Linked DNA regions of Lepisosteus oculatus. The protein of the gene in region 1 purifies or fractionates together with the protein of each later gene. This does not show direct contact. Links are inferred from orthologs where the notes say so. Each region holds a gene or a part of one and is shown on either strand. Other genes may lie near its edges. The genes, in order: tbc1d15, ubac2 and ubxn8.

Evidence for each region.
Region 2: the proteins of tbc1d15 (region 1) and ubac2 purify together in Homo sapiens (affinity purification with mass spectrometry; 3 studies listed by BioGRID and IntAct, counting the BioPlex papers as one, with this or other methods). This does not show direct contact. The link is inferred for Lepisosteus oculatus from reciprocal best matches to the Homo sapiens genes TBC1D15 and UBAC2.
Region 3: the proteins of tbc1d15 (region 1) and ubxn8 purify together in Homo sapiens (affinity purification with mass spectrometry; 3 studies listed by BioGRID and IntAct, counting the BioPlex papers as one, with this or other methods). This does not show direct contact. The link is inferred for Lepisosteus oculatus from reciprocal best matches to the Homo sapiens genes TBC1D15 and UBXN8.

Annotation. Positions count from the first base shown.
Region 1 is NC_090702.1:22,594,375-22,602,215, forward strand, and holds the start of tbc1d15 (TBC1 domain family member 15), read right to left. Parts: upstream 3,108-7,841; 5' UTR 3,062-3,107; coding exon 3,038-3,061; intron 1,299-3,037; coding exon 1,200-1,298; intron 1-1,199. UniProt on the Homo sapiens protein: Acts as a GTPase activating protein for RAB7A. Does not act on RAB4, RAB5 or RAB6.
Region 2 is NC_090710.1:6,082,049-6,089,658, reverse strand, and holds the start of ubac2 (ubiquitin-associated domain-containing protein 2), read left to right. Parts: upstream 1-4,545; 5' UTR 4,546-4,740; coding exon 4,741-4,771; intron 4,772-7,610. UniProt on the Homo sapiens protein: Restricts trafficking of FAF2 from the endoplasmic reticulum to lipid droplets.
Region 3 is NC_090698.1:27,356,380-27,363,784, reverse strand, and holds the start of ubxn8 (UBX domain-containing protein 8), read left to right. Parts: upstream 1-4,318; 5' UTR 4,319-4,410; coding exon 4,411-4,495; intron 4,496-5,526; coding exon 5,527-5,685; intron 5,686-5,926; coding exon 5,927-5,997; intron 5,998-6,976; coding exon 6,977-7,099; intron 7,100-7,405. Other genes in the region: mat2al (methionine adenosyltransferase II, alpha-like), read left to right, coding at 312-445, 2,724-2,826. UniProt on the Homo sapiens protein: Involved in endoplasmic reticulum-associated degradation (ERAD) for misfolded lumenal proteins, possibly by tethering VCP to the endoplasmic reticulum membrane. May play a role in reproduction.

The DNA.
Region 1 (7,841 bases):
CCCATACTGCTGCTGAAACTGCTGGCAGACACAATGCCCGCATCAGTGACAGGAAAGTGAGGCTCCATGCTGCTGGCCTTAGAGCAAGGCGACCTGTCAGAGGCCCTCTGCTTACACCTCCTAGACATCACACCCGACTGGCTTGGGCCAGACAGAGGCTGCAATGGACTCGTCAGCAGTGGCATCAGGTCCTCTTCACGGATGAGTCACTCTTCAGCCTGTTCCACACAGATGGGAGGACCAGAGTGTGGTGGAGGTGTTGCATTTCTTTTTTCCATCAGTATGTTATGTGTTGTTACTGTCATTATTAATAAATATCAATACATTTGTGCAAACCAAATGTATCTAAATTATTTTCACCAAAGCTGTGCGATATGTGGTATAGTGATTCTCACTATTCCAACTGTTTGGGTGTATTCTTGGCAAAATGGTGATGAAAGGCATATGATAATATACATTATAGTATATACATTATTCATGATTAATGTTAGAATCTTAACAACAGAATAAAACAGTGAAAGAGATTTAAAGTATACAGTTCTGCTCTCATTTACACTATAAATAAAGTTTTTCCAAGGAACAGAAACAAATTCCATTCTTCTTACTCTGGAAATGTTGTTCACTATTAATGGCCTTATTTCTCATATGGGTATAATCTGTTCATTTACGTTTTTGTCTCAAACATTGGTTACTAGAGAATTATTCAGATGCCACACTTTTAAAATAAGTCTGAGTTATGCTGGTGATTTCTGAATGTTTCCTTTTACCACCAATGTAACACAAAACCTTAAAACCGGAAAAGCCCTTCCCAAATAACCTACTTTTATTTAAAGCTTTAAATAAAATAGATAAAGCAAACTGCATATGCACAAATTATAATATAAAACGACAATCATGTTAAGAGTTCAAAACATGCAATGGCTGGAATTCCATTGTGCTCATGAAATTTCAATTAATGGGAAGGTTTTCACGTAATGAAGATTGTTTAGAACCTGTTAAATTCAAATTTAATCTATAAAATAATTTAAGATTTGGATGTCAGGGTATACAGACTGTAAACTGAACTATCATTTCTAAATATGATGTCTTCACAAAAAAACATTATGTGAAATAGAAAACATTATAATTTACAAAGAACTATATCCGAGAAGCTTTTAGTTTCTGTACTCAGCTCTTTTTACTTATGCGTCTTAATCTACCTTTTCGGTTACTCGAAGAAATCCTGAAATCAGGGAATCTTGGTCTTCATTTCTTTCTGAATCAGAGTGGATAAAAATCCCTTCCTGTTCATATAGAACCTGCAAGAAAGGAATGAGAAACACATAAGAAACCATGTTTCTAACCACTATTGGCAACGTCAGCAGTGGCATCACTGAGCCTTTGATGGAGGTACACAGCACAAGGCAAGACAGCAATCAGAAAGGGAAGCCAGCCTGTTCTAGGGCACAGACAAGCAGAAAGTACACTTTAAAGACCCCAATTAACCTAAAATGCCTTCAGTAATTTGAAGCAATATGGAACACTTGGATAAAACCCATACAAATACATGTTGAACATGAAAACACCACATTGCAGATACTCCAATCCAGAATCAAACCCAGCTTCCAGGAGCTGATGCAGCAGCACTCCTGCATGATGCATGTTTCCTGCAAATCACATCATGTAAGTGATTATACGAATTATACACACATAGCCATGATGACTCCAACTTTATTTTGCATGTATCGCAGTGAACAGGAAAATGGCAACAGAATACTCAGGGGAATTCACAACAATTCGAAACCCCCTTTAGGCCAATAACTTTTTGGTAGAACTGTTACATCTGCTTTTCCATAAAAGGGAAATGCCACATTCTTTCTCTGAAATTTTTGTGCAAACTCTCAATACATAATGATGCTTGTTGGTGTATTCTTCAGCTTTATGACGCCACTATGCTTTAGTGTTTAAAGCATGAAGATAGGGTTCATGTGTTGTGCGAGAAATACAGATATCGGTGTCTCCAAAACATTGTGTTTTAGCTGACATTTTAGAGGAGAATCTGTTTTGACTTGATGTTTTACTCTATTATTGCTGATTAGTTATCCAAAAAAACAACAACACAGACAACACTTCCTGTTCTTCAAGTAAGGGGTGTCAAGTGTATATTGCATGCCACTGTTAATATATGGCAATATTTCTTGTAAACATCAAGAAAATTGACTAATGGAAAACAGAATAAAGGCTTTGCTACATCCATTGCAATTGTAATGCAATGCAAACAACAAACATCTGGCTGACAACTTAGCAGAGTAGATTAAACAGACATTCAGCACTTCAGAGTAGTTAATTTAACTTATACTGGCGTGTTGTTGTGTTAGATAGCGAGTTGCAGGCCGTTTATCTCCCCATGGCTGCTGTAAATATGCTGGGTACCGACTTAATTCCATGCAGCTTTTCGATTTTTTTTATTCTGTATAAAACAGGAATTTAGGAAGTCGTTTTCCACATACCATAAATAAGCGGGTTATTTTTTCTTGTTTCTATTTTCTACTAAATGCCAACAGCATTAGTGCAAAACAAATACAATCATAACTCTAATGTGAGTTTCTGTTTTCGACAGAGGTGCAGTTGGTATATACTTGCTTTCGTAATAAATTAAAAAACATGAGCATACATTACATGTTCTTTTTTTCTCACACCAGTTTCGGGCATTAGCTATGCTTACAAAAGTGTAACCCCAAAGCTTTGTGCCCGTAACTAAAATACGACATTCAATTAACCAGATAGGTGGCTAGGTATTATGTCGTACATCTACTTGCTTTCGTGGCATTCAAGAGGGAAAAATCATAAAGCTTTTGCATTCACAGGACCCAAATTGCAAAGCAATACACCTCTTTCTGCTTCCATCAGGATAACTATACAACACAAAGCTATTTGCTCTAAAAGGTCCGCACTGTTGTAAAATGCAGTCCACGAGGAAGAAAACTCCTGTTTCACTGGCCTCAAAATACGCGCATTTTGTAAGAAATTATCTCTTCGTGTACTTTTCTTTCTGTACCTTGCCCGCTGCCGGAGCCGCCATGTTGCTCGCTGATGTTTACGATGACGTAGCACCGCTCACGTGTTTTTCAGGGCTCCACAACCACAGAGACAAATCATCTTCCGCGTGGACCGTAGAGCGCCTGCGCAGACCTGCCAGCTGGAAAGAGGAAGGGGAGAGAGAGGGCGGAAGCAGTCCTCACATTTTACTTCTCTCTCCTTGTCAGTTAGACTTGCTGTCGTTACTATACTGATGAATGACATCTGGGTTGGCGGTGGCAGTGTCTGTGCATATCAGATTTTCAAAAGCGTACAAATAGGCATGTCGAGATTTGTTTTTTATACATCTCGTTTACAATTAATATACTAATTTGAAAGTAGCAGAAATTTGAGCCTGGTCATGTTAGCATTAAGGCTAGCCTCAGTAACAATCGACAGGCACGTCCAACCACTTCTTATATTTATAGTACAACTCAAAAAGTATTGGAAGTAATTTTAAGGCAAACATATATACCCTTTATAATTCTTATAATAACTTTTATTCATAAATCACCCTTCCAAACTGGGTGATGTACAAAGTGACAAAACTAAATTCAAGGTGTTATATAGGGCGATTAGGCCTGGTAAAAAGATCATCAAAGAATTTCACTCTTGAACAGTCAGGGGAAGGGCTGTCCATAATAATAGAGCCAAAACAGAAAAGGCACAGTCACCAAAAGCCTGAGATTTAGTCCTGGGAACTAAACTGGATAGAGCCCAGGGGAAGGAGTGTAAACATGGAGGAGTTCAGAGATGTATGAGGGTTTAGAGTCTTGAAAGTCAATCACAAGATCTTATATTGAATATGTCATTTTACGGGCAACCAATGAAGAGACGAGTCACATGTTACTAACGCGTGAGTCAGAAGTCTAGCGTAACAAATACACCCCTGAGTATAACAGGGATCTCAGCCACCTGGGCTGGGGGAGTTCTTATTTAGCTCAGCTGGCAAGTTCCCTGTTGCATGACGCTGGAGACCCGGGTTCGTGCCCAGGCAGTGAGGCATGAACGGGCAGGGCAGGAGTGGCAAGAGCGCAAAAACCCCAAGAACTGTTACACTAGCTGCAGAGTTTTGGACTTTTGCGATTGTTGCAGTGTTTGAAGCAGAGGGGACCACACCCATCAAAAGGGAACTGCTGATGATGTTGACAACTAACAGGCAGGCGTCTGACAGGCAAGCTTCCAGTAAAGAGGTAGGGATGGGATCTAGGCAACAAGAGGTTTTCTTGCAGCTGTTAGCAGTTTGTGTAAATTGATCTGAATTAACTAGGCTTAACTCAGAGAAATCTGGTACAGAGAAAATGTCAATGGATAGTTCTCAAATATCTGAATCAGGAACAAGATTAAGGCTTGATTTATTTATATAATTTTATATAATTTATTTGAATAAATGTATATAATTGATTTATACAATTTATAGCATCAATCTTGGATTGAAAGAATTGCAAAAACATAAGACAGGGGTGGAAGAAAGAGCATATTTGTCAGGGGGCATAATGAGCTTGTTAATAACAGAGAAGAGCACTTCATGATTCCCTAGTCCAGAGCTCACTGTATCCTGAATATAGGAGGATCTGGCAGTACCGTAGACTTGCAGGTGTTCATTATAAGCCTAAGTGCTTACGTGTGAACCAAAAGGCTGTTTTTCTTACTGAAGCACTTCAGACGCTGACCAGTTAGTGGTTCAGGTGTATACCATGGAAAGGAATGTTTGAAGGAAACTGCTAGTACTAGTACTAGTCAATACAGTGTTTAAATTACTGGCTAGGTTAGCTGTTGAAGATGACTAATCTTGTAAAGGGTGAGAACTAAGTACAGCAGTAGAGAAATCAGAATGGTTCTGCCTGTCAGACAGATAAGAGCAGAACCAGTTAAAAACAGTACCACATTTGTTTCAATTGTCTAAAACAAATTGTGCATTGACATCTCTCTGACGAAACAGGGATATGGACGTCAAATAACAAAGGTTTGTGATCATCCTAGAAATCTGCAGGTCAATGTCACAAAAGGCTTGGTTTGACTGATCAGATCGTCCACTTTTACAGAACACTGTAGATCTTTGTAGATGTGGGCTCAAGTTCTGATGTAAATATGATGAACTATACAAGCATAAAAGCTATGGCTACAATCACTTGGAATTGACATACTGAAGGCCAAATTGGAACATTCTACTTACCTTAATCATCACAAATCCTCTGCAGCAGCAAAATTATTATTTAATTGCAGAGTGCACTATGTCTGTAAATCTAGAATAATGATCTATTTTATTAGTAATAAAATTGATAGAAAAGGCAAAATGAGAATATTGGATCCTGATGAATCCAGGGCATTACTAATTCACACTGATATGCAGTTTCATATGAGGCATTATTCAAGAATAGCTCTGAGTTTTTAATGGTATTGCTGTAGGAGGAATTACTTCATAGCATTTTTATTGAATACTGAACTACTGTTGGAATCTGTATTTGGATAGATTGAATTTTTTGAGTGAGAGGTCTGTGGCTCCCAAAATACAGAACATCTTACATTTTTATTATTCATTCTTAGAATGCCTAGAAAAAAATAAAGAAAAAAGTCTCCAGCTGTTAATCTGATAGGGGCAGCTTTGACGTAGGGGCAGCTTTGACGTTTCATTTTAGGTCATTGTCTCTTTGCTCTGATTTTAATGCCAAAAACGATGTCGGATCAAAAGATTTACTAAAACGTTCCACAGCTGCACCTTAAAAAAGGCTAAAATCTGAAACATTTCAGGAACAGCATGCTGACTTAATCTAGATCAACACGTGTAGGTACACTTTTCTGTCTGTGGCCTCCTGAGTGGTAACTCAGCTGGTAAAAGTGCTCAGCCAAGCACTGATTCAGCTGTATGATCAAGGTTTCAAGCCTGGGTCATGTCACTAGCCAACTGTGACCAGCAATCCTAAGGCAATGGCACACAAATGGATGAGTACCACCGAGGACAGGGTGGGATCAGTCAGTCAGGACACTCTTATTGACACAGTGACCACTGCAGCCTCCCAGGCTCTTGTAGGCATGTTGTGCTATCAGTAGTGGAAACACCTCTCCTAATTACTGTAACAGTGAACCTCCAGTACAGGACTGTGATGCCTGTAAGGTGTTAAAGGATGAGTGTCTGAAAGGTACAGCAGGTGGGACTTTCTTCTGTATTGTAGCTGGAAGTGGAGATGTGAAAAATACACAGTTGGATATTCCAGATAGAATTTAATAGGTGATTCAACATCATTGTTTTTCTAAATCTTCTTTTTCTGAATCCTGTAATATGTTGTTTATGGTATATAAGATGATCTGTTGGAGTCTTTTATTAACTTATCATATCTCTCTTAAATGTAATATAGCAAGGCTAGTAAGAAAAATAGACACACAAAGGGTACACTAAATTCTTTGACTAAGCCATGATCATGAAATGTGATCTGCTTACTTATGGAGTCCTCTCAACTACATTTAACCATTTGGTATATTTGGCATTTATTGTTTGTGATTTGTGTCGTGCTGGATATATATTAGTTCCCAACCTTCAACAGAATTGTTAGACAATAGAAAAGCTCCAATGTGATTTTCACAGATTTACCAACATTTTATCTTCACAAAGTGATCGTCCTGATCTGATTCAATTTCAGCGCCCATCAATCCTTGGCCTCTCATTTGAATAAGCCTACACAAGAAATTCAGACGCCACCTAGCATGGGGATTTTATAGTGTTGAATGATATCCAGGAAGAGCTAAACTGACAACATGGAATTAATTGCGAACTAAGATGGATCTCAATCTGGGCCACTGGAGACAGAGGTTTATTGAAGTCACATGCTATACATTGATAAAGACTGCTTGCTCAGTTTAACATGAAGCACTGAGTTCTATGTATGTTGCCTAGGGCAATAACAGGATAATTTGTATTTACTATACACCAGGACAGCGTTTCTTTGTAGAAGAAGCATTGAATTAGTCCAGGTAGCTGCTTTGGTTTAATAAACAGATTACAATCAAAAAACAAAAATGAACGGAATATAGCCTAACAAACTAAATCTCACCAAAAAGACACAGATCATATTTTCAGGAAAAATATAGATTTACAAGATGATATCGCACAGTATACTGTGCCTCAGTGAATTCGTTCTAAGCATAGTAAACTTTTACTAGCCCAGATAAAGGACTGCACAAATGTAAGGGCACATTCTATTTTTCTGAGGGGAAGTAAAATGGTTTTCAGAAGGTTACACTAGTGAGAACTAATGTGAAAATAATTCAAACATTGCTGCCTGGATATAGGTCATTTCTTGCTCACTAAATACCATTAAAGCATGTTTATGGCTTTCATAGAATTGGCCCTTGCCCTGGCAGTCACTGTTAAGTAGTGCTAGCAGGATAATGAAGTAATGTGTGTACCATAATGGCACTGTGCAGCAAGCAGGCTATTTAACACATTAATTAAAAAAAAAACATTTCATGTAGAATATAACTGTCATTTCAATATCTTAGATGGTAGACAGATATGCCTGCCGACAGACAAACACATTAAAGATCTGCTTTCTCTCTCTCCCGGGGGTGTAAACAGATGAAGCATCTAATTTAAATTTCATTATTTACCATCTCAGAGGAGGGACTGAAGCCCATTTTCTTTTCTCAGAGGCACCAGGATCTTGGGGTTTTTTTTGTGAATAAATAATTCACGCTCTTTCACGCATACACAAAGACACACATTAAGGGGATTAAGAGTTGAAATTGCTCCATTTTCAGTCTATGATTGTGATGTCTGGCTCTAAGCG
Region 2 (7,610 bases), on another chromosome or scaffold:
CTTACTCATAACAAGCTATTTTAACTGCAGCACCACAGTTGTTCTGCCAGTAAGTGCTTCAGTGATGATGCTCGTGCTTGGATTTGCTTATTTCATATCATTACTGCAGAAGCTGGTCTCTTCAAAATGAGAAAGTAAAAGAGCAACAGTATCTGCAAGATTGTGTTACTCTGGGTTAGACACCAGTTCACCATGACCCTGTATTGGACTAAGCTGTAATTGAGAATGGATGGACATCCATACCAGTCAAAACACTGGAAAGACTACAAATGAGAGGAAATCACCTGATCCTTATTGTTCTATTTCTTAATAGTCTAGTACTAGAAATGACCCAACTCCAATTGTAAAACCACCTTAAATAACCAAATTAAGAGAGAGTTTAGAGTCCTGCCCCCCATGTCTTTAGGAGACAGGAGGAAACTGGAATTCCTGATGAAAACCCACTCAGACATAAGAAGAACATGTAAATTCCACAAAGACATATTCCCAACCTGGAACTCCCAATGCTGGCACTGTGAGAAACTAATGCAGACCACTGCACCACCTTCTAATGCCAATTCCATTTATTACTCAAGTCCTTCAGAGTTTAATGCCCTGTAATACAACTTCCAAATCTTCCACTGCATTGCCTGTGCCTTTTATCCAAGCGAACAGTGAAACACAAACCAGAGGGCACAAGTGGAAACTATGTGGAACTGCATTTAAAACTGAGTAAATGGCAGTTCTTTAGCCAAAGGGTTAAGATAAGATCATTTTATTGGCCCCTATACAATTTCTTGTATTAGGAATTTGTCTTTTTACATACCCCAGCTTGGGCTCCATGAGACACACAGGCATGGAGAGAGAAGCTTGGGGTCAGGGTGTAGGGTCAGCCATTTGTACAGCACCACTGGAGTTAAGGGCTTGCTCAGGGACCCAATGGAGTAAGACTCCTCTGCCAGCAGTAGGATTTGAACCAGTAACCTTCCAACCACAGGCACAGATCCTTAGCCACAGTGCCACCACTCCAGTTGTAGGTGAATGCATAGTGTCTATAAATTAGCAATAAATAATCTGCTTCTTTAGAGTTTGCAAGAAAAAATACATATTTATTATAAAGTTTAACAAAATATATTAGTGCATCCACCTAGATTTAACATCAGCAAAACTCTCAACACATTAGAAATCTTGACTACACTTTTAATTGTTTTTAAAACCAGGCCTCTACTTTTCCAATCCCATTTCTTGTTTAAATTTTACATTTTAGGATTTGATTTATTTTTTCAAGATTCCAAAAATGTTGTTTTTTATGTTACGGCCTATAATGAAAAGGCATTTGTAGCTCCAGGTGCTTTAAATAATAGTTTGTTTTGGATTGAATTTTTGTTATGTCCGACTATCAGTGCGTGTGTCCTTTTTTTTAGTATGAAACATCACCTGCAAACCTGTCCTCTGAACAGCTGCAGACAAAAGCAACGCATTGTCAAACAGGCATGTAAAGAATTTGGAATCTTTTGTGTTTTGTGGTTGGGGCTAGTTTTATAGGCCACACCTATTTCTGTAAAAAAAACAATATAAACTGAAGGGAGGAATTTGCTGTGACAGCATTTAAATCAAGACATTACTTGTTAATTAGTATTAATATTATCTCTGCTGCCTTGTTGTTAAATTACTTTGCTGGTAAGGTGTACTGTGTTATTTTAAATGGGAGTGCTGCTGAACCTGGATATGCTACAGTAGGATCAATCCTTTTCACTGTGCATAACACATTTTCTTCTTTCTACTGTAAATTGTAGTTAATCTACAAGTAAAAAAAAAGTATATATATAAAAGCTGAGCAAATGAACTATGCATAACATATGTCCTGCAATGTGAGACAATACGAAATGTGAACAAAAATATTTCTGTAATTTAGTTAGGCCTACATTGAGTCTAACATAAGAAGAACTGATGTGGATGTAATATGATAGGAATGAGACGTTTTGTCTAGCTATTGATATGTCTGGTTTTATTTTTTTTCTAAAGATCCAGGTCAAGATGAGTGTAAGAAATAAAAAGGGAATATTGTGTTTCCTAGCAAAAAGTATTAAGGTGAGACACTTTATGGTTAAAGTGGCACGTATTTTATTAATGTAGTATTAAGTACTCTAATTTTGAATGGAAAAGGAACGCCAGGCTCCAGCTGCACTGGGACCCTGAATTGGATGAAACGGTTGAAAATGAGTGGATGGGTGCATGGAAAAAGAACACAGTAAAATTTGAGCTCTGAGTGAAAAAATCAACTTTGCATACTCACACTCAAAGGGGCAAATTTCACCATACCACACCATAAGGCAATTACTGTCTGCATCTAGAAATGCAGTGTGAAAAAGGCGGTGCTATTTAAGACGATCCATTTAAGAGTTAAACATCTATAAGATGTATGATTTATACATACATGCCAAATTAAACAAGACATGGCAGGTCTGTATTTATCAATACTGGACGATTTCATTAACGTGAAGATTCATTGTGCCTGAGGGATGATTAACTAACGTGCTGCAACTAGTTGGCCATTTTGTTTCTTTGCTCTTTTTGGGCTAACTGTAGGATTGCTAGTCAATAATCACATTAAATGTTTAATATCGTTAATAATTTAGACGCATTTTGCTGTATACTTCCACGTATGAAATCTTTTAATTTATGACGATTCACCTGGCACTATGTCTTGTACTGCTATCTTGTTTTTTATTTGCATTTCTCTGCTTGTTGGGCACACCTGTGTACAGTATGTGCTGTTGTGCTTTTTTGGGGGGAAACCTAAAGATTTTCAGAATGTAAGTGAAAGTACTGTAAGTGCAAATAGGGATCCCACTCTAGGGCAAACTATTATCCACAAAAACACTCACACAAAAAGAAAATGCCAAAATATAAAGATTTTTCCTCGAAACATTTTAAAGAATTTCACTTTGTCATCTCTTTCAATTAAATCTCTCCCGCAAAAAGTTTAAGTAGCGAATGGAAACCATTTAAGCCAACACACTTTTTTCGATATATGGATTTTTACACACAGCGAAACATGAAGTGGAAGAACGTGCAGCAATAGGGGAAACTACAGGTATCAAGTATAATACCTAAGCGCGTATCCCCTAGAAATCTGTACCCGCCTTCCAAATGCGCACGGGTTCTGCATAACTTTCCAGGATACCTGATGATTTAGACGGCGTGCATGTAATTACCTCTTCCTTTTTTTTTGCGATATGGATAAAAAACGAAACCCGTTTTTTATGCTTCTTTAAATCGGTTTCTCGGTGTATTAAATGTGTATGCTAGGGATTATAGTATTTTATTTTTACCGGGTGAATTAAAACTGAAGTTATTTTTACACAACCGAGAGCAACCCGAATTACAGAACATAAAGGCTATGTGCATCTTTTGTCCTTATGTATTATATAAATAATTTATATATGATGCGAAAACTCATGCGTCACCGAGAGTGGAAAGGGTAAATTTTCAACGACGCTTGCGCATTTCGAAGGGTGAGACACATTTCTAGTGGATACTGAATTGGATACGACAACTTTGGAGAGAAACGTATTGGAACATCACAATATTATCTACTAGATGTCTGAAAAGTCTTAAACATACTGAAAAACTCTTGAACAATGAACAGTCTAAGCACTTTATTGCATATTTATTATCATTTATTTTTTATTGTCAAATTATAAAGAAAATGTATTGTTTTCATATTGAAGTAATTTATCAGAAAGATCTTTGTATTAAAGTTAGAGACGTCAAATGTACCCGAAAAACGTGCATGTCTGAATCTCTTAATTTTAAGAGACAAAGTGCTACAAACTCTAGACAAACTCTTGCGCAATGGTCCCACCTTCTGACAGCATAATGAATTACATGCATAGGGAAATCGCCCTCTATAACTACAGGAACAAAAACTAGTGCAAACAAAAACTAATTCGGCTCAGAATTTCAGTTTAAAAACTGTTGTGATAATAATAATTATATCATAATTAAAGCAAACAACAACAACAACAACAACAACAACAATAATTAATATGATACAATTATTATTAATATAATAATTAAAGCAAAGGGTTTATTTAAGAAAGTCTTATAGATTTTAAGAACCAGAACAACTAAACTTTTAAGAACTTAATTTCAATTCAACATCTGCTTTTAGTATACATCGCTCTTACAGGTTAAGATTAATGCTATTACAGCTATCAGTTTTTTAATAATAATAATAATAATAATAATAATAATAATATCCCATTTCTATCCATGAGCAATGTATATTAACATTACTACTTTTAGTACAGGATATTTTTTAATTTAATTATTTAACTATGTTGCTCAACACGGTTCTTAATAACGAATTACCATAGCGGCAAGAGAACTAAACATATTATTCAGAAAAAGGAAAGCCCTAGACAACAGCTACGATTTAGCATTTCTGGTAGCTTTCTATATCTACCGGATGTATAGTAGGAACAGAATGATAATTGCGATAACAAATGCAACTACTTCACGTTCAATAGAATGTCGCTGTCAACGTTTTTCACGAACGCGTTTTCCTCTTTGCGAAGGGCGGTATGGTGAAGAAGTTTGGCCCTGCCAGGCTACCCTCCTTGGTTATCTTTTACCTTTTCACCCTTCACTATTTTTTTTTACTTTTAACTTTTATTTCAACTTTTTGATCTTAATTATCAGTGCCTTTATACTCCTGTTGTTTGCATTCCTCGGAAGCCTGATTTCTTTGGGGACATGTTTACGACCACTGGCTCAACGGGGCTCTGTGAGTTATTTTAATGATATATTTTAACTTGACAAGTTACTGTTCTCTGCACTGTCATTCATTCGTTGATTGTTAATATTAGTTTATTTTTAATAAGCAAGCGGTTGCTAACAGTGCATGCCTTACACATATTTCGTAGTTTATGACATGATCTTTGGGTTTAGGCATTAGATTTGTCCATGGCGTTTCTCTAGTATTTTTTAAAGGGATTGCCCCAGGTCCGACGTTATTTTAAAAACTGTATTGTTACGACGAATTCTACCTACAGTATGATAAAAAAAAGCATTTGTATTTAGAGTATTTTCTACTGTATCAGTTGGCATGATTAGTTTCGGTCACGTTAGAGCGATACGATTTTACAGTACGTCAGCTGCCAGCAGAGCCCTGTCTTCTCTAGTCTTTACTATGGAGGCGTTTAGTTGTAGTAAGACATTGAATTCCTGTAAATCGTTTGTAAAGAACTGTTGCCCTCTGTGGTGTTACTTGCAGAATTCCTCCTAACACCGTGCCTAATGTTTATTAAAAACACTACATAATTCATTACAGTTTTTGTTTCAGACCTTTTGTTTTGGTTGTTGATTGCCACATTGTGTACTTATTTTCAAACATTACTGTACCTAATGTCAGTTCTCTAGTAAGTTGTTTTTTCTCTGCTTAAAAATTCAGTTGATTTTGTGAAGCTGAAGCTAGGGAGAGTCTACCATGGGGTTCTAGAGAGCCAAACTCCTGTAGGTTTTATCGGCAGCCTTAAAAGGCCAGAAAGCAGCAATCTGGAAGCAAGTTAACTGGTATTTAAGCAATTTTTCTGATCCAAAATAAGCTATTGAGCGCTCAGCTGGAAAAATCCCAGAAAACACTGTGGCTTTCTCAGACTGGTCAAGGATGTGACTCTGAAGTGCAGAGAGCTAGCATTAGTAGCAACGACTTCCACCTAGACTTTTGCTTAACTGTTTATCAGCCTCTTGCATTGACTTTTCACAATTTTAGCCCATTCTTCTTTATTCATCTGCTTCGAGCCAGTGACAGTTCAGGGTTTCCTCATGCGAACAGATTGCTGCTGGTCTTGGCATAACATTTCAATGGGATGTAGTTCCAGACATTCCAAAATGTGAAATTTCTTCTTCTTCAGCCATTCTGTTGCAGATGTGCTTGTATGTTTAGGATCATTGTCTTGCTGCATGGCTCACTTTCGGCTTCAGCTAATCGTCTGCCATAATCATGGTTCCATCACTGGTGGCAGACCATTCAAGTCCTGAGGCAGTCAAGGAATCCTAAACCATGAGTCTTTCAACACCATGCTTGACCATGTCAGGATGGGGCTGTTTAGTTGGAAGGCAGCATTTCAATTTCACCACACAAAACATTTCTCATTGTGCTGAGAAAGTTCAACTGACATGTCTATTCAGAGAACATTCTTCCAGTTGTCTTGTGGTTCGTCCAGTTGCTCTTTGGAAAAAAAAAATGAGACAGGAGGTAACATTCTTTTCAGAGAGTGATGGTTTCTTCCTGGATATCCTCACATTAACATTATTCCCGTTCAGTCTTGTACTGATGGCTGAGGCACGAACACTGTGATTAGCTGCAACAGGAGAGGCCTGCAGATCCTTAGATGTTACTCTGAGGCTCTTTGTGATTCCTGGATGATTTTCTGGGCTTGTATGAGGAGATCTTGGCAGGATGACCTGGGAAGTCACAGTGGACTTAAATATTTCATTTTTGGGGAAGGGACACCAAATGTTTAGAAATGGTTTTATAACTCTGTCCAGACTGTTGAGCATCAGCTACCTTTTATCTAATGGTTTCTTACATCATTAAGAACGGGACTGCCTAAACTCCTGTTTACTTGTCACCCAATTATTTTCCAACCTGATTCTAATAACTTCTTTGAATGTGCTAAATAATCCAGAGTTCAATTATTATTTCACATACACTGATTCTTAATGATTAATTTATCTTATAAATACACTATACTGTTTCAAAAAACACTAATTGGTAAATATAAGCCCTTTTGGCTATTTAAGAAAATATTTGTTTTTTTCTAAACAGTGGTATCATGGTATGAAAGTGGAATTCCCCTTAACTATATGGGGAATATATAGTATATTAAATACAAATACATTTGCTGTAAGTATTAATAAATCAATATAACCTGTTTTACTAATTGTTTTTCACATGTGGAGGCGAATTGTTTTAACAGTAGAGATTGTACTGAAGCTAAAATTTCGGTAAACAGCCCAATGCAAGCAGCCAAATTACAATAATAGGCTAGTTTCTCAGTGGTGTCAATCATAAGACTCATAAGAAAGATTACAAACAAGAGACCTGACTTGACACCTGAAGAAAGCTCCACGGCCGAAACGTTGTGTTTTCTCTCTCCTTTTTTTCAGCATGGAATAAACCTATTGTTCCTTTGCAGCTGACGCACACTGACGCATGCTGACGCAGCTACCCACCTGAACCAATTCAGAAGAAGTCCACTGCATTGACTTTTTTAATGCCTTTGATGATTTGTAGTACATGTTAAAATACAATAAGCAATATTACTGAACATCTTGTCTCCTAAAATTGCTTTCCCACATTGAAAACTTTAAATGTTACCAACATAAACACCAAAGTATTTCTAAAAAATAGTCTTTTCTAGCTCAGTGTTTTCCATTTTGTAGTTATTATGTTTTTATTCTTGCATGCAAAACTATGCAGGTCTGTATTTAATCTGCCAAGTGTCTTGGAATTTTATGTTAACCTTTCTGAATTTCACTTTCTGCTACTACAGTTTTCACTAGTCTTGGCTAGTTTACCAACTATTCCATAATTGGGATAATTGATTTTCATTAGGAAG
Region 3 (7,405 bases), on another chromosome or scaffold:
CAGAAGACAGGGACTTGGAAAATAACCTCGTGAGACTGCGAATACTCTGACCAACGTCCAGGGCTCTCACCATAGTTGCTTGGGAAGTGTGTTTCTAAGGGGGTGAATTTCATGTTGTACAATTGGGACCTTGAGCTGTGAGAGCTGTCCTTGCCAAAGAAACGAGATTTCTTCATTTAAGCTCGCAGGCAGTGTGCTTTTTGGAACATTCTGGTAGTTGCCTGCAGCTGCATGGAAGAAAATGTTAAAAAAAGGTTACAGTACAAAAAAGCAACAAGACCTTTCTCCTTTGCTCTCTTGTTTTGTAATAGATCTCCTATGCCATCGGAATAAGCCACCCGCTGTCCATCGCAATCTTTCATTATGGCACCTCGACTAGAGATGAAGATGAGCTGCTGGAGATAGTGAAGAAAAACTTTGACCTGCGACCTGGGGTCATAGTTAGGTCTGTTTTTTTTTCCTTTCTTTCTGGGTTTTAGTTAATGTTATGTAGAAGACTGACTGAGCTGAATTATTTGCTGTCATAATTTAAAGAGACAGATTTTAAAACTTCACCCATGCTAATTTTGATGTAATAGTTTTTGTTTGGACAGAATTTAGTACAACCTCTTACATTGGACCCTTTTAGTAACTGTTATCATATTTAACCGTTATCCCTTTTAGTAACTGTTATCATATTTAACTTTCTCGTCTCGAGACTGTGTTTGGAGTCTCTGACACTGCCCTCAAATGGTTTAAGTCTTACCTCACTGATCGCTGTCACTTTGTCTCTCTCAATGGGTACAGGTCTGAAATTGGTCTTGTCAAGTCTGGTGTCCCTCAGGGCTCAATACTGGGCCCCTTGCTCTTCAGCATTTACATGTTCCCACTTGGTCAGCTTTTAAGATCACATGGCCTCAGCTTTCATTTTTACGCTGACAATACTCAAATATACATCCATACCAAACCCGACACTGATGTGGCTGTCTCTATTCTATCTAATTGCATCTCTGACATAAAAATTTGGATGACTCAAAACTTCCTTCATCTTAACTGTGACAAGACTGAAGTCATGCTTATTGGTACCCCCCATCAACTTCGTAAAGCCAGTCCTGTAACCCTGTCTGTAGATGGCTCTGTACTTGAGCTCCAATCAAAATTGAAAAACCTTGGGGTTATATTCGATTCTGGCTTAACATTCGACCCACATGTACAGCATACTGTCAAAACATCTTTTTTTCACCTTAGAAATATCGCAAGACTACGCCCTATGCTATCATTTACTGTGGCTGAAAAGCTGATCAACATATTTGTATTCTCTCGAATTGACTACTGCAATGCTCTGCTCCCTGGGGTATCTAAATCTACTCTGAACAAGCTGCAGTATGTCCAAAATTCAGCAGCCAGAATCCTGACCAGATCTAGTGCAAGTGTTCACATTACTCCTATCCTGGAGTCCTTGCACTGGCTTCCGGTCAAATTCCGCGTAGACTTTAAAATCCTCATGCTCACCTACAAGGCTTTACATGGCTTGGCACCTCAATACCTGTCTGAACTTTTATCGCCCTACTCCCCACCTCGCAACCTCCGCTCTTCAAATTCTGCCCTCCTTACTGTCCCCCAAGCCCGTCTACATTGTATGGGCGACAGGGCCTTCTCCTGCTATGCCCCCAAGCTCTGGAACTCCTTGCCCAAGGATATTAGAGAGTCACCTTCTCTAAACTCCTTCAAATCCAGACTCAAAACCCTCCTTTTCAGAAAAGCCTTTACTTAACTGCTTCCATTCTTCACCCCTCTGCTCTTCTTAATACCATCTTCCACGGTCTCCTCTATTGTTATTGTTGTATTGTTGTAATTATAATTGTGTCCTGTCTTGTGAAATTTTCTTATTTATTGTTGTAGTCTTCTTATTTATTGTTATTGTCATCCTGTAAAGCGCTTTGAGAAGCCACCTTTAAAGGCGCTATATAAAATAAAGTTTATTATATTATTATTATTAACCAACTAATGCAGCAAATAACTTATTCCACCAAGCTGTGGTGGAACCAAGAACATGATACTGTATAAAATGTCAATTTAGGCACAAATGATTCCCCTGTGAGACGCTCTGTCGTCATCAGCACTCTGTTGATAATATCCGTGCTCTTCACATACACTGGAAAAGATGTGGCAAGACAAAGTGAAAGGTTTGTTTCAGGTGCGACAGGCTGTCAAATACTGTATTATTATATAAAAACGTCTGTCAGTCCCGCTTGTCTGTGGGATATCTGCGTATGTGAAAATAATATCTCAAGAATAGATCTGTCTGTGGCAGGGTTTGTTGCAGGTCTTTGGCCTTGAAGGGCACTGCCTAACATATTTGAAGGTTTGTGGTACAGTTAAGCCTTAACTAGACCATATTAAACCTTTTGTCTTGGGTTTAATGTTGATTAAACCGACAATGTGACAACACGATGGACTGGGGTCCTCAAGCACTGGAATTGGATCTTTTCTGAGAAACATTTCAAGATTCAGGGAAGTGTGTGGAATACCCATAAAAAAAACATCTAAATGCTTTTTCCAGTTGCAGTCTGCGCCCCAAAATAATAATAATAATAAAAATCTGAAATACGTACACAGTATTTAGGTTAGAAATGTATTTAAATTAGAGCTGGAATCTGTAAACCTAAGAATCTGTTAACTTTATTTCTATGGCGGCTAGATTTTGTGTGAGTTTGTGGTAAGCTATCTAATTTTTCCTACAGGGAGCTCAATTTGAAAAGACCCATCTATCAGAAAACGGCGTGTTATGGGCACTTTGGGAGAGAAGAATTTCCCTGGGAAAAATCAAAGCCACTGGTGTTCTGACAGAGTCAGTGTTGACCTGCAGTCCTGTCCGAGACACGTATCTTCACTCTCATCACATCTGACATCCAGAGAGTTTTGTTCCTGAAACACGATGACTTTGCAATAAAACAAAATGGGCTTTAAAGTATGTTTTATACTACAAGTATATATTGACACACTTGGTAAACACGTATGTATGGGGTTGCACTAAATGTTTTGAAACTTATTAAAAAACATAATTATAAAAAATCAAGTGTGGTTTAATGGAGTGTAAGGGACAGCTGATATTTTCAACTTCGCACATTTTTATAATTTCACTTACAAAAATACATTCCTTTTATGGGACTTGTTCTCCTTCTTGCAGATGCCACAAAGACAGAATTCAGCATTTTTTTCTCACAGCCTTTCCATTGCCCTTTCTACCATATTATTGCTGCATATTTAGAGAAATTCTTTCCTACATCTCTGTCTTTATTATATCTGAGCCTTCGTTTTTGGGTCGGGGGTCTTTAAATGTTAACAGCCTTGCTGAAGATCCCCACAATGATATTGTCATGTCATTTACCAAACCGCTTTATACCATAATGGAGTCGTGTTAAGCCAGAGCCTACCTGGCAAGCAACGAGCACAAGGCAGGGTACACCCTGGACGGGGCACCAGTCCATGCCAGTCATACATGGGGACAATTTGGAGGCCACAGTAAAGGCCGAGGGGAGAAATTTGGCCTGGGCACTGGGATAACTCCCTACTCATATCGAGAAATGCCTGGGAATCATTAATGACCATGAAGAGTCAGGACCTCGGTTTAACTTCTGATCCAAAAGACAGCACCCACTACAGTATGGTGTCCCCGCCTCTATACCGGGGCATTAGGACCCACACAGACCACAGGGTGGGTGCCCCCCACTGGTGCCACTAACACTACTTTCAGCAGCAACCATAGCTTCCCAGGAGGTCTCCCATCCAGGTACTGACCACACTCAACCCGGCTTAGCTTCAGCGGGTAGGCAGTTGAGAGCTACAGGGTGATATGGCTGCTGGCACAATGATATTGTGTCTTGCATAAATAAATCACCTTTACCGTTTAAACGCATCTTAAACTTTGATTCAGACTGAAGGATTCCCTCATTGTTGAAGCAAGATTTGTATGATCAGAATCAAAAAGTTTAATAAAAAACAAGCCTACAACAGACAAAACTGTTTTAAACAATTAAAAAAAAATGCTTAGTGTGAGCCAGTGGCACCATTAGTTTATCCAGAATTTATGTATTATGTATGACTTTAAGCCATACATAATAAAAATTAAATACTGTATCTGATATAAACTAATATTTTCTAATATATACTGTATCTGATATGAAGCTCTTTTTTTAAACATTGAGGTATACAGTATCTCTGCTCTTTAGTGATGCACCCTTGGAAGAAAAGTCAAGAAATCCCATTTTTGGGTGCTAGAGGGCAGCAATGATTTTTTTCTTCAGTAATCTTAACTACATTTCCCAGAGGTGCCAAGCTTACAATACGCGTTTCAATCAGGAAGAGCAATGGGGAACTACATACAGCGATCTTAAAAATACTCGCTAATTAAATCAGATTGTAAAGGGGATGGCTGAGCTTAAGACAGTTGCACTATTCGGAATAGTGTCTCTGTCTTTCTATTGTTTTGCTTTGTGGAAAAACTCTAATGTTGGTAAGAAAAGGTCTCCGTCTTAGTAACTGTTTAGTGACGTGAAATAATTTATTTGACCTGTTTCTGTTCTTTCGCTTTTTTATTATTATTCATGGAAGTGTGTTTGTAATACGTACCAAGCAATATCACAGCACATAAATATAAATATCGTAATTTAGTTTTATAGCTTTTCAACTTTATAAATTCGCACAATATTGAAGGATTCCATGAACACCAATTTTCCGATGTATAAAAATCAGCATCAGGCTCCTTTCACAATTAACGTTTATATTTTTATCTGAACTGTCTCGGTAATTGATAGTTTCTAATTTTTGCAGTTTTTCTGCCTATGAAATTGTCACACCAAAAGCTGTTTTGTAACATGATGATCATCACTGTTCTCATGCATTTATTATTTTTAAAGTTCTTGCTTGATTTTATTAATGTGAAACAAAATTTCATAAACTTTCAATTATGAAACATTAATTTCATAAAAGAAAATGTCTGAGAGGAAGACACGAAGCTTTTGTACATGTCTTTTTAATAATTGGGTTGAAGTAGTTCAAGTAGGTAGCTGCGTCAGCATGCTTAGGCTGCAAAGGAACAAGTAAAGGTTTATTCCATGCAATTTTGCATATAATGCCATAATGAGTTTGTCCGAGACATTTAATAAAAATGTTATTTTCGACCAGTGATGCAAATAATGTATATTCTTCCAGCTGAAGTATCGTTTGGAAAGAAGTCGCAAAACCTTGCCCCTTCACTTTCACTCTAGCTCTTCGAAATTTTAATCATCCGAGGCGTCGTTACGTGGAAAAGGTGCATGTGTATATCTCATAAGTAAACTTCTCTTTTCATTTTCTTCTGTGTTGCGGATATCCTCCCCACCACCTTTGCAGCTACAGCCTAGTTATCTGCTCACTCTGCTGGGCGGTCCTGCAGCCAGGGACTGGGTCTTCAGCCCAGTGCGTTCGTCCATACCTGAGCGCTCAGACGTGTACTTATTCTTTGCGATTGCCTGTTGTAACGGGAGATCCCGTGTGTCTTGTCAGGTGTGAGACGCGTGCTGCTGTTGGCCGGGCGAGGGCTCCTGGTGCTGGCTCTGGCTACGTGGCTGGTGTCGGCAGTGTTTCCACGGCTGAGATCCCTCTTCCAGTCCACTCTCCACCTGGTCTGTCCCCAAGGTCAGCGTCAGCCACTCCACACTCTGGGTATACTCGCAGACTTACCTCTCGGCTCCCACGAGAAAGGCAATAGTACCGGCTTCATCGCAACACATTTGGTCATTGGTTATCACTGACTTTCTGTGCAGCCAGGGTTTGAAATGTATTGTATTTTACCAACATTGCCCTTTTTTTCCTTTACTTTTTATTTAATAACCTTGAATAATCACAGAGACTACCCTTGGCACCAAGAGTCTGATGCAATATGCATTTGATGTGTTTTTTTAAGTACCTGAAGATGAAGCGAACTGGGAACGGGACAAGGCCAGGAAAGAACAACAGGAGAAACACAATGAGAAGGTGGGTGTCTGCGGTGTTCAGCCTTTTCTCGTGGTTCAAGAAAGCTTTGTTCAACAGGTTTTTCATGTATCAGGAATGGAATGTTATGGACTCAAAGTGTCTTATTTTTGCCCTGGTATCAGTCAGAATAGTCTGTGGTGCTACAATACAGGAGAAAGTACATGCTGGGTCATGTACGATTGACGTTTTTGCACTGGTGATTTTAGGCCATTTGCTCAATACAGTCAGTCCCTGCAGTTCTTTCCCAGTGCTGTTTACACTGCAAGGATATTAGTATCCAAATCTCATTTATCTGTATGCAGACAGGCAGATATGTTAGTCAAAGTGAGACGTGTGTCAGTGCCAGAAATATTTCTATCATGATGCAGCATGTATAAAAAAAAAGTCATTGCTAAAGGAATGCTTGTGACTGAGAGCTCCTCTCCAGTCTTGAGACATGAGGATGTGAGCGTAGTAATTTAACCTTATGGCTCTGTTCCTCTTGCTGAGGTACAGTCTGAGAGGCAGTTAGGACTTTTTAGCACAGTAGGCGATGTACTGCTGAAATTACAAATGCACATAGGACTGTAAATTAAATACTTTAATCTCTAGTCTCGTTTTATTATTTTATGACAAGTTTTGTAGCTTGTCTTTTGTCTACGGGAGTATGCAGTGGTCTTAGTATACATTTTTAATTCCTTAGAAAACTGTAAATGTAAGAATGCAAGAACAGTTAGAAAAGAAATGAGGCCATTTGACCCTTTTCAATAGTGGTTCATTGATCCCAGGTCTTGAAGGAAGCCAAAGCATCGGTTTCAACAACATGGCTGGGCAGCTTGTTCCACACTCCCACAACCATTCTGGTTGGAACTGGAAGTATCTGAAATCTGGGATTATTTTTATTCGCTGTACTAAAACAATCTGCTGACAATCTGCTGTCCAACAAATCCGTTAGTTTAACTGCAAATTTAACCCTTTCCTCGTCTTGGTTTCGTATTAGGCTTCCACATATCAGGAGGTTGTGCTGAGGCCTCGTCAGGAGTCCAGGCTGAGGAAGAAGCAGGAGAAGCTGTACAGGATGACTGGGGAACTCTGGAAGCTGTCGGCGGGGCAGGCACTTCGGGTGAGGATAGGAGCTCACTTTAGGACACAAGGGAAAGGGGAAATCAGGTGTGGCTTTAGAGAATATGTAGTCCCAGATCATTTTAGATCCCAGAGCCATCCCACTGTGTGTCTTCGTCTGGAAACTTTAAACATCAACTCCAGGAACAAGAGCCTTAGATTTTAGATGTAGGTGCAAAAGGTTGCTGTATGTTGCTAAGCCTCAAAAAGGCAGCACTTGGAAACAAGGCCATGACGATAGAAAAGTAGTTAAGCAGTCACACGTAGCTGTAATTACCCTCTTGTTTGCTGAGGATAAAAGAGCAGT